Linked DNA regions of Struthio camelus. The main gene of each other region encodes a partner of the protein of the gene in region 2 in a complex. Links are inferred from orthologs where the notes say so. Each region holds a gene or a part of one and is shown on either strand. Other genes may lie near its edges. The genes, in order: CYFIP2, NCKAP1 and WASF2.

What was found.
Region 1: NCKAP1 (region 2) and CYFIP2 share a complex: the UniProt entries of both Homo sapiens proteins name them as parts of the WAVE1 complex. The link is inferred for Struthio camelus from reciprocal best matches to the Homo sapiens genes NCKAP1 and CYFIP2.
Region 3: NCKAP1 (region 2) and WASF2 share a complex: the UniProt entries of both Homo sapiens proteins name them as parts of the WAVE2 complex. The link is inferred for Struthio camelus from reciprocal best matches to the Homo sapiens genes NCKAP1 and WASF2.

Annotation. Positions count from the first base shown.
Region 1 is NC_090954.1:11,239,957-11,243,701, reverse strand, and holds the start of CYFIP2 (cytoplasmic FMR1-interacting protein 2), read left to right. Parts: upstream 1-1,480; 5' UTR 1,481-1,597; intron 1,598-2,350; exon of another isoform or gene 2,351-2,490; intron 2,491-3,745. UniProt on the Homo sapiens protein: Involved in T-cell adhesion and p53/TP53-dependent induction of apoptosis. Does not bind RNA. As component of the WAVE1 complex, required for BDNF-NTRK2 endocytic trafficking and signaling from early endosomes.
Region 2 is NC_090947.1:17,842,117-17,845,861, forward strand, and holds the start of NCKAP1 (nck-associated protein 1), read left to right. Parts: upstream 1-1,524; 5' UTR 1,525-1,572; coding exon 1,573-1,680; intron 1,681-3,745. UniProt on the Homo sapiens protein: Part of the WAVE complex that regulates lamellipodia formation. The WAVE complex regulates actin filament reorganization via its interaction with the Arp2/3 complex. Actin remodeling activity is regulated by RAC1.
Region 3 is NC_090964.1:6,580,316-6,584,060, reverse strand, and holds the start of WASF2 (actin-binding protein WASF2), read right to left. Parts: upstream 2,208-3,745; 5' UTR 2,072-2,207; intron 1-2,071. UniProt on the Homo sapiens protein: Downstream effector molecule involved in the transmission of signals from tyrosine kinase receptors and small GTPases to the actin cytoskeleton. Promotes formation of actin filaments. Part of the WAVE complex that regulates lamellipodia formation.

The DNA.
Region 1 (3,745 bases), on a different chromosome or scaffold from region 2:
TATTTGATACATAGCAACGAGTTCCATATGCAATGAAATGCAATTTCTTCCTGTCCTGCCTGTTCTTTATCTACCCCTTTGAGGACCTTTCTTTCCATAAACCCAACGATAATGTAGGTTTCGACACGTTACAGGTAGCATTTGGAACTACCAAAGTCACAAACTTACTCCCCAAAATCATGCATTGCCCAGTCTTCCTTTAAACATTTCCAGTTGTGGGATTAGATGCACTGCAACACTTAGGAAGCATTGCAATAAACATCCATTTGCTCTTCATTAAATATCCATAAGTATCCACTTGTTCCAGTCGTTAATTACCTTTTTCCGTAGTTCTTTATTCCTAGTGCTTTATTCCCAATTAGGTCTAGACCTGCACGGTGAGAAAGAACTGAGACATCTGCCTTCACAGTTGGAAGACAGAAAAATTTGGCCTGGAAAAATCCAAAATTTCCTGAAACATTTTGTAATGAATATATTCCCGTGTGATGTATGGCTCTGTCTGTACTCTCCGAACTCTGCTCTCTACAACAGGGTGGGGTTTAGGTGGAACCTTCCTTGCTAATTCTCCTTGCATGGATGAGCTCAGTGTATTGTTCTGTTCACCTCACAACACCATGACGTTACCTCTTGCTCTCACATCCACACGCACAAATAGCTGATGCCCACACTGCATCTGATGCACACATCTGTATCTGCATGTGGTCTGCTCCTCACCAGCATTCTTCCCCTTTTGCAAAGAGACCTGCAGGACAAATGCAAAGAAGCTTATTCTATGATCTAAGACTACAAAAAGTAGAAAATTAAAATAACATAACATTCACAGAACTCCCATCACCATTAGCCTGGCTGATAATGGGAATGAGTTAAAAAAAATAAAAAAAAAACGAAAACACAACAGTTTTCACTGCCACAATTTTCTTGAATTGACCTTGTTTCATCCACGGCCTCAGAGTAATACTAGCTGTTAAATCTCTTGCATCTGCAGTTAGAATGCTAATTTACTGAATCTTTCTGACAAGCAACAGATAGTGAAAAGAGGAACTATGGCTGAAAAATGTTCCAGTTAAAGCTGATGTAGAAGACTGCTACATAGGGGAAGGAAGAAGGGTCTGTTCCTAGAGTTGCTATTAATAATGTTCAGGTGTTGAGCTGTCTATTTAAAATGAAGACAGTTTTGAAGTTCTGTCTTGCTGCTTTTGGAGCGTGCAGACCCTAGTGCATCCACTCTACCTATCGCAGCAGAACTACAGCACAGACCTGGTGCCCAAGCTTCCTTCTGGAGCCAACAGAGCTTACACCCAGAGCTTACACTGGGAGCCTGTGCTCCTGAGCAAGCTCAGACCCAAGCTGTCACGGGCAACAGAGCAGCAGGCTTTCTGGTAAGGAATCAGCAGTGGTTATTCAAAGCCAGGAAAGATCCAGATGTAGTCTATTTTTAGCATAGACCAATGTTCAGGAAAGGAACGCTGCCAGGGACCACTGTGGAAATATATCTAGACATGCCCTGGGCTTCCAACAGCCTTGGATATCCACCGATGTCTTTTTAACATCTGAACCTCTGAGAGCTACAGCAGAATGAATGAAAGTCCTTTGCAAGGTTTGTATCAATCTGCACGCAGAGATGTTACTCTGGAGGTTTTAAGAGGTCCATTTTGCATTTCACACTAGATCTCAACAGCTGTATTGGAGCTTTAAAAAGAATCACAAGCAGAAGAACTGGAAGCTTATCCCTGAAAAAAGGCCAAAAGGAAGATCTTTTGGATGTAGTGCTGACTCAGAAGAGGCTCGGAGCCCTGCGCAAAGGCATTGTCTTCTGGTTTTCATCCCTTACATGGTCAGCGAACCAAGGCTTTATATATATTATGGAAACAGGACTGTCATTAAAACAGGGTTTTAAAAAAATCTGTCTTTGGCACAAGCCGCCTGCCGTGCACAGCGCCTGCATGCTTGGCAGCCCGGCAGGCTCGGCAGCGGCAAGATGGGGAAGCGCGCGGCCGCTCCTGCTTCTCAGGCACCTAACTGCATTCACCTAGCGCTTCCCGGGGGCTGCGGGAGCCGCCACCGCCAGCGGCAGCCCCAGCCTCTCCCGCTCATAACCCGGGGCTTTTCGGCCGTTCTCCCCCGGCCAGTTCGGCAAAACGGCTCCCTTCTCCTCCTCCTCCTCCTCCTCCTGCTCGCCGGGAAGGGCGGCCGCGGCGGCTGGCACCGCAGCCCGAGCAGGGGTCGGGGCGGCGGCGCGGAGCCGCGGGGGGATGCGGCCGCCCCTGCGCGGGGGCGGCGGCGCCGCGCATCCCCCGCGCTGCCCGGGGGAGGAGCCGCCCGCGCGGCTCCAGCCCCTTCCCGCGGCGGGGGCCGGGGCTCCCCCCCCCCGCCGCCGTGCGGAGGGGCCGGCGGAGAGCCGCGGAAGTGCACTTGCTGCAGCCATTTCCTGCTCTTTGTGCGAGCGGCGCGGAGCGGCGCGGAGCAGCGCGGCATCCCGCGCAGCGCCAGGTGAGCGGGGCCGCGGCGGGGGGCTGCGCTGCGCGGGGGCTGCGCGGGAGCATCCTCCTCCTCCCCCTCCCCCGCGGCTGCGCGGGGTTGCGCCCGCCGCCGCCGGCCCTGGCGCGCTGGGCCGCCCGCGCGGGCGCAGCGGGCCGCGGGTGCGGGCGCCGGGGCAGGTGCCGGCGCCCGGGGCAGCGGCAGCGAGGAGGCCCGGCGGCGCCGGGATGTGCGCGGATGTATCCCACAATGCTTAGAGCCACCTGCAGTATCGAGCCTCCCTTGCATTGATTGCACAGAGCCGGGGAAAAGACCCAAAATCGCACCGCCTGGTTGCGCGCATCCCCCCGCGGAGGAGGGGAAGGGCGACGAGCCCCGGGCCGGGATGCGCCGCAGGCCCGGCCGCTGGCGGCGATGGCAGCGCTGGGGTCGGAGCGATGCTCCGCGCGGGAGAGATGTGGGTGGAGGAGATGGAGGACCGGCGGATGCACTGGGCCGAGGAGCGAGAGGTGGCCCTGGCCCCCGGTCGGAGCTCCCATCACCAACAGCATAGAAAAATGGTGTCCCTCGGGGAGGAGAGGGGAGGAGAAAGCCGTGGGGTGTGAGCGGGGCTTGGGAAGGATGGGCCCGAGCTCTGGGGATTTTGTGCTGTCAGAGATTTTTCAAGGTTTATGCTTTGGTGTTGGTTGGAGTTGGCAAAACCTGGGTGCTCCAGAACGACTGATTTTCCACGCATGAGGCAATCTGTGGTCGAGATGTGCCCCGGTAGCGTTTCTTTGTGTTGAACTTTCAAACCAAGGATGTCAGTGATGAGTTCACTGGTGGCAGCCACATCCCACCTGAAAAGGAATGAAAAGATTTCACAGGAAATTTCCATGGGTGGAAGGGATCAGAAAGGAACGATGAGAAGAAAAAGAGGCACATACTAAACCGTCCGTGCTGGCTTAGTGATTGAGAGTCCTCTTTACTGGTTGTTTTTGGAAGGGGGAGGGTGTCTGGGGGCAGACGTTGAGGTCCTGCTGAGTAAGTGGATACGGCTGCTAGCAGCAGAGCTTGTCCCCCTTTGCCATCTGTTACTTTCCACGTGGGGGTTTCAAACCGCAGCTTTTGGATCACAAAGATCTCACCGAATTGTGTTTGGTCGCTAACTCACCAGAGCCCTGGCCCTGCCTGCCCTGCACAGATACCAAAAGAAAAAGCACGCTCGTATTTCACGTTATGACAGTTGTCGGAGGTTAGTCACTGTGATGGGTGATTAGAGCTGTGT
Region 2 (3,745 bases):
CATTATAAATTTAAAGACTAATTTGAATGTTTCTGATGTTTTCTATAGACTACAGTGGTGAAAGGTCAGCTCTAAACTAATTAATCTTTGCAACATTATTGCTAGGTATGCTATAAAAGATTATTCCCAACTCTTGGACAAAAAGCTGAGGCAGAAAACTAACTGCTAAAGGCCAAAAAATGACTCAGTAGCAGGCTTCAGATTAGAACTCTAAGTTCTTGCTTCCCGGTTTCATTCTGAATCATAAATTATCTTGTAACTGCTAAAGAGGAGGAGGAGGTTGGTAACAAATTAGTTACATTTAGGCTTCTCACATTTATTCCTATGCTTTCTGAATCTATTAGTTTAAAACTGTTGAAAGGCTGATTCTGATCTCTAATGTGAAAATATGAACCGAAGATTAAAATAAATGCAATAAAAAGCACAGATGGTGTCATTATTAAAAGAGAGAGAGAGAGAGAGAGAGAGAGAAATAGACTAGAAGATTAATTCTTAGGTGCATCTTCCATTAAGCAGCCTGAGTTGACTTTCGTACCAGCTGGTTGTGCTGGCTGCTCAGCAGTAGCACTGTCTCAGTAACAGGTAACAACGAAGTTTGGAATACAGGGAGAGGTCTCACGGATGCCTGTTTGGGGTATTTATGACATAGGAATCTCACTGTTACTTAAAAATGCATCCTTTTAAACTTTGTAGCTCCAAGAGAAAAAATATATGTGGCTGTGTGAGTCATCTAATTGGTGAAATGGTATTTCTCTGAATTTGCTGTGCAGCTTTCTAAAGCAATGGCTCAGAGGAATAAGAGCCTCATAAATTTCAGCGTGTTGCTAACTCTGAACTTATTGATACCACCTTCAGCAGATGTCTGTACGATTCTTTTTTTGCTTCCAGGATCCCATCATGAAAGTGGCTTGTGTGTTACTGACAAAGGTTCTCTCAGAAAATTAGTGAGTGTCACTAGTACGGATAATTGTGTCCATATACACTATACACAGCTCTGCTAACCTTCAGTTCTTGATTTCACATGATTAAGTGAAAAAATCAGTTTTCATTACAAATTTAGGAGAAAAACTAATGTGCTTCACTGTTTTGAAATACAACGTAGAATTCTAAGTAAAATACAACCTAACGACTCAGAAATTAAAAATAAAAACAAACCGAAGGGAAAACCAAATCCCATTCCTTCGGGAACCCAATTTTAAAAAAATGGAGCCTAAATTTTTACGAGCGGTGAGCGCCAGCTGTCCGGGGCTCGGGATCTCCTCCTCCTCGGTGGGCCCCGGCGGCGGGAAGGCGGAGGTGTCGCGGGCGAGCCCGAGCCGCGCGGCGCCCCAGCCCGCGGGGCAGCGCCGCCGCCGGCCGCAGGGGGCGCCCGCCGGCCGCGTCACGTGGCGCCCCCTGCGCCGGGCCGGGCCGGCCGCCGTCGCCGTCACGGTCGCCACGCCCAGCGGGCCGCGAGCGGGCGGCGGGAGGGGAGGCGGCGGCGGCGGCGGCGCCGTGCGGGGCGGCGCAGCGCAGCGCAGCGCCGGAGGCCGCCGCAGCGGAGGCCGCGCCGGGGCCGGGGCCGGGCTCAGGATGTCGCGCGCGGTGCTGCAGCCCAGCCAGCAGAAGCTGGCGGAGAAGCTGACCATCCTGAACGACCGGGGCGTCGGCATGCTCACGCGGCTCTACAACATCAAGAAGGTGCGGGGGCCCCGCCGGGGAGGCGGCGGGAGTGGGACCGGGGCCGGGCCGGGGCCGGGCTCCATCCCCGCCGCCGCCCGCCTGGGCCCTGGCGGAGCCGGCGGGGCTGCCGGCGCCTGCCGGCTGGCGGCTCATCCGGTCGCGGCCCCCCTGCGCTGCGGCCTAGCGGCGGCCGGGAGGCGGCGGCGGGGGCCTGGCTGCCTGGCGCAGGGCAGGCGCGGCCCGGCGCCTCGGCCGCCTGCGCGGGGCCTAGGCCGGCGCGTGCCGCGGGTCGGCGACATGTCGGCGGGCGGGGGCCGGGGCCGGGGCCGAGGCGGCGGGGGCCGGGGCCGAGGCGGCGGGGGCCGATCGCCCCGGCGAGCCCCGCGGCGCAGCCTGCGCTTTCCCACGCCGCCCGCCGAGCGCGTAGCTGCCGGAGGGGAGGGCTCCGGTTAAAATTAGTAAGTTTAATTTCACGAAGTTCGAGGCGCATGGTTGCTTAGCAGCTGCTGGCTTGGATTGGAACAGATGTTTTAAGCTGTCACTGGTGCTAAAACTGTTCTCTGCCTTATTAAAAAATAAAAAGGAAATAATGTTTGCCTAGGGTGAGACCGGTCAGAGATGCAGGAAGTCGCGCGTCGTGTTATCGAAGGGAAAATATAGTGCTGTCTTCATATGTAGCCAATATCTCTTCTGAAAGAAACCTTGCTTTCATAAATTGAAGAATGTAGATCATAGTCATCCAGTACTCCAGGTGCTTCATTTATACTTGCTAGCTTATATTTTTTTCCTGATGTGTAATACATCATTTGAACTGAATAATTTGAAAGCTTGCTTAATTCAGTTTCAGTAGTGAATCTTGGTAAAGGCTTTATTGCTTTATCTTAGAAGCGTTTATTCGTAAGAAAATTGCAGTGGTTACATTCAAGCAATAAGCACACCTTTGCAGGAGTTGTGTCAAAATATCTGTGCCGATGCATATGCTCGATTCTGCTGACTTCTGCTAGAGCAGTACTTTTTGCTTGAAACCTGCAGAGTCCGGTGGCTTCCAAGATCCCCAGTTAGCGAGCCTCAGTCTGCAAGGATAATGTGTGAAGTTGAGGTATCGCTCTGCCTTCTGAACCTAAATTTTTAGAGGAAGTGCTCCTCCTTAACACATTTGAGCAGAAATAGGTGTTTTGTCAAATTGGTTTTCTCATATGGGAGACTTCTACTCTAGAAGTAGTAAGGACTCGGTATAGCCAAACGCTCTATTGATTTTACTTAAGGTGGTGTTTGTTTCCAGGAAAAAAATGATTGCAGTGTTCAAAAGCATGATTGCAGCATTCAGTGTTGATCCAAAGCACTACAAGTAGTTACTGTCAGAAATTGAAACAAGGTTCCTTTAGTTTGCAGTTTTGTATGTTGGTAAACTTGCTTCAATTTAATAATTGTAATTATAGAAATGTACCTTTTAAAACAAAAGAGAACTTATTTATTTGTAGGGAAAATGACATCAAAACCTTAAAGAAGCCATTTGCATGTGTAGTTGTTACGTTTTTAGAGAGATGTGTGAGTTGAAAAAGTCTGGCTTAATTTTGCCTAAGCTAGGTCTTCTGTCAACATAGCTGTGGGGTTTTTTGTGGGGGGAGAAGGAGATGGGGGAGGTGGTAGAGACTCAGAAAATTAAACCTTTGCTTGACATACCTCCATGCCTTAAAAATTTTAAGTGTAGACCATGTCTTGATTGCCAGCATCTTGGACGGGGGACAGTTGCTAATATTAAGAGGTTCAGTGCCCACCGACATGTTTTTGCTGGCATATTTGGATGACAGCATCCTAAGCATGATTGTCCATATGGTATCTTCTGCTATTGCTGGTAGTAGTGAAGTGATGCAATCGGATAGGTTCTCAGTATGGGAGCATCATCACTGGAGATAACACCACCTTTTCCTCCAGCTGCCATCCATATAATCCAAATAAGGTTTGATATTACCTATGGATATAGGCATGTCGGAGCAGCTTGATTATTATGTGACATATAGCTTTGCAAATCTGGAGATGACCCAGATACAACTCTGTGCGGGCATTAAAATAGTTATTTTCT
Region 3 (3,745 bases), on a different chromosome or scaffold from region 2:
TGTTTCATTCAAATCCTGTATTTCAAGTACACACCTTAAAAAAAAAAAAACCTGCAGAATTGTGAAGTGCCTGACCTACTCCACCCCACTCGCTGGATAAAGCTTGTCCTTGGCTGCGAGTGCAAGTGGATTTTCAAAGTCACTCTATCAACATATTGTCTGTGTTTTCAGTTGGTAGATGTAAGCTTTAGTTTGTTTTTAAACTAAGTTTGTTTTAGCTAAGTATTAGTTTCTATGACAAAAATCCACTCAAGGTCACTAAAAGGCCAGTCAGAATTCCTAATGAATAGGGTTGCAACACAGCATTTTAATTCCAGCAGCATTTTATAGCAACCAATTCTACAAGCTTTTAAAACTAGCAGAAAACATAACTATTCCCCTTCCTCATGTGATCAAGCAGACACACTTTAATACTTCCCATAAAGTAACATTTTGCATCAACTTTGCCACAGGGAAACGCACACACACACTACTGGCCTGTCACGTCTTTTACTTTCAATCTTTCCGTTCTCACGAGATTTCCCAGTTCGAGGGAAAGATGCACAAGTGTGAGAGTTACAAAAGGTTTGATAACTTGTGGCCTTGTCTGCAGCAATTATAGCCTGGTCTGTATCAGGTGTACTCACTGAAGTTCCTTATCATCATTAAGATTATTTCATATCCACTAAGATCTGCCATGCTGGGAGTCTTAGACTGTCAGCATTTTCTAATGTCTTATTGAACAGGCCAATACTTGGCGTTCACACGCCATATAGTCCCGCTAGCAGGTCCATCTACGTGAGGGCTCCCAAGTCTGCTGCTACTAATGGAAGTAAATCAGTAAGGCCAAATGTGAAACTTTCAGCAGAAAAAAACTCCTACCAGAGGAAGGTCTTTAAGGTCAAACAATAGCTAACAGGGAGGAGCTGCAACATCTTGCCTTTCTCCAAAGGACATACGCTATTTGTATCCCAAAGGAGTAGCTCCAATATAAACCCAAATGCTAGTGAGGTACAACCCTGAGGACATTGCCTGGCAACTTATTTCTTCTCTGAAAGAAATATGATCTGAGGTCACTGGTAGGTCAGCACATTTGACCAAATTACCCAACCATATGCCGTTACACCCTTTAAAGCTTCTTTTCAGATAGTGCCCAGGGATTTAACACTAGGGAAGATATTTCCAACATATGCACCCACACAGTCCTACCTCAAGTAGTTTGACATTTTACATGGCTGCATGGTTAGCTGCTAGTTGAGGGGCTTACACACATCCATAAGGTGTACCCACACATACTGAAGGATGCACCCACTTCTGGGGCAGGAGGACAGCCAGCAGGGAGAAAGCATTTTCACAGCAACCCTCCATGAGGGCAGTCACCAGAACTTGCACCAACAAGGGCAGTCAGCCACTCGCACGGATAAACTTTCTACACAAGTAAGAGACACGCACGCATTTGCGCAAGCACCATTTCGATGAACTAATGTCAAGGCCTGAGAGCAAAGGCTGCGACCAGCCTGGTAAGGGAAGGACCCCCGCCACCCCCAGCAAAGCAGCACTTCTTCTCCTTTAGGGAGCACCCCAGCAACCTCTCCTCCTCCCCAGGCCCCTCAAGTTATTCCCAGCTAAGCTAGACCTCAGTAACAACCCCAGGACAGGGGCTGACACCACTAAGAGCTCAGCACCCAGCCTTCCCCTAACCCAGCCCAGGGCACTGGCACCCCCCGGGCAGGGCAGCCCCCTCCCCCTCAGCCCCCCAGGCAGGGCAGCCCCAGCCCAGGCCACGCAGCCCAGCACTGAGCCACGGCCCCTGGGAGGGGCAGGGCAAGTGTCAGCCTGGGATAAGGCCATTCCCTTCCCCCTTCCTCCCCCCGCCCCAGGCCGGGGCCAGACCCCCCCCCAAGACCGGGGGCACCAGAGCCCACACAGGGCAGGGGGCTCACTATGTAGCAGGAAACAGGGCCCGGCTCACCCCGAGAGCTCACTATTTGGCAAGGGCCTAACGGCCCACCCCAGCGCCTCCGCCTCTTTCCCCGGGGAAGAGGCGGCCGGGGGGGGCCGGGGGGTCGCCGCTACCCCCTCTCGCACTCACCCCACTCCGAGGCTGTCTTCTGCGGCCCCCTCGGCTCGCTACCACCAGGGCGGGCCAGCCCGGCCGTCCGCCATTCCACGGCTCCCCCTCCCTACCCTGACTAAACTTTGCCCCGCCTCCTCCCGGCCGCCGGTCCGCTACACCGTTGGCTCGCTGGCCAAGGCTACTGCCCTGCCATTGGCTGAGCGCTGCCGTCTATCAAAGCCGTCCTACGCCACTTGCGTACGAAATCGGAGCAGCAAAAGAACCCCACCCAAGCGGGCCGCGCAAAGTGAGTAAACAGGGAGGAAAGTACCATCCAGGGGATTAAAGAGGGGATCCTTGGATGACAAGGAGAGAAACATTTCCAGGGAAGCGGGGAGAATCCCGACGTCACGCAAAGCGACAGAATTTCAAAATATACATCTGGGACTGTGGGTGCCAGAGCACGGTTTTCTTCTAGGTTAGCCTGGAGGAAAAGGGTCTCTTTCCTTTCCGGAGTCCCCCCCCAAGTGCTGCACCTTGGTGCTGCCTTTCGCCTCTATGGTCTGACGCCCCGCAAGGAAAGTTCCACCTGGGGGAGCGGGGGTGTCACGCCAGGGCGGCGCGGCCGCCGGGGGGGGGGGGGAAGAGGGGCAGGGGTGGGGGTGAGGGGGCGGCGGTGGGATAGGGTGGCAGTTGGGGGTCAGGGGTGGCAGTGAGGAGTCAGGGGTGGGGAGAGGGTGGCGGTTAGGGGGTAGGGGTGGGGAGAGGGTGGTGGTTAGGGGACAGGGCTGGGGACAGGGGTGGCAGTGAGGAGTCAGGGGTGGGGACAGGGTGGTGGTTAGGGGACAGGGCTGGGGACAGGGGTGGCATTTAGGGGAGGGGGTGGGGACAGGGTGGCAGTTAGGGGGTAGGGGTGGAGACAGGGTGGCGGTTAGGGGACAGGGTGGCAGTGATGGGGTATGGGTGAGGGGCTTTGGGGAGAGGGGAGGAGGGAGCAGGGCAGGGGGCTGAGGGGGACAGGGCCAGGCAGGAGCCTGGCAGTCACCAGCTCTGGGGGTGCAAACCCAGACACCCACCTCTGCCTGTCAGCCACGAACCACTGCCAGGGGTACCCACCGCCAGGGGTACTCACCACCAGTGTTACCCACCACCAGGGGTACCCACCACCAATGTTACCCACTGCTGGAGGTACCCACCACTAAGGTTACCCACCACCAGGGGTGCCCACCACCAATGTTACCCACTGCTGGAGGTACCCACCACTAAGGTTACCCACCACCAGGGGTACCCACCACCAATGTTACCCACTGCTGGAGGTACCCACCACTAAGGTTACCCACCACCAGGGGTGCCCACCACCAATGTTACCCACTGCTGGAGGTACCCACCACTAAGGTTACCCACCACCAGGGGTGCCCACCACTGGGGGTGCTCACTGCCAGTGTTACCTACCACCAGGGGTGCCCACCACCGGGGGTACCCACTGCCAGGGGTACCTACCACCATGGGTACCTGGCACTGGTGTTACCCAACACCATGGGTACCCACCGCCAGTGTTACCCACTGCCAGGGGTGCCCACCACCAGGGGTACCCCCTGCCAGGGGTACCTACCACCACCGTTACCCACTGCTGGGGGCACCTACTACCAGGGTTACCCACCACCAGGGTTACCCACTGTCGAGGGTACCCAGCCCTGGGGGGGTACCCAG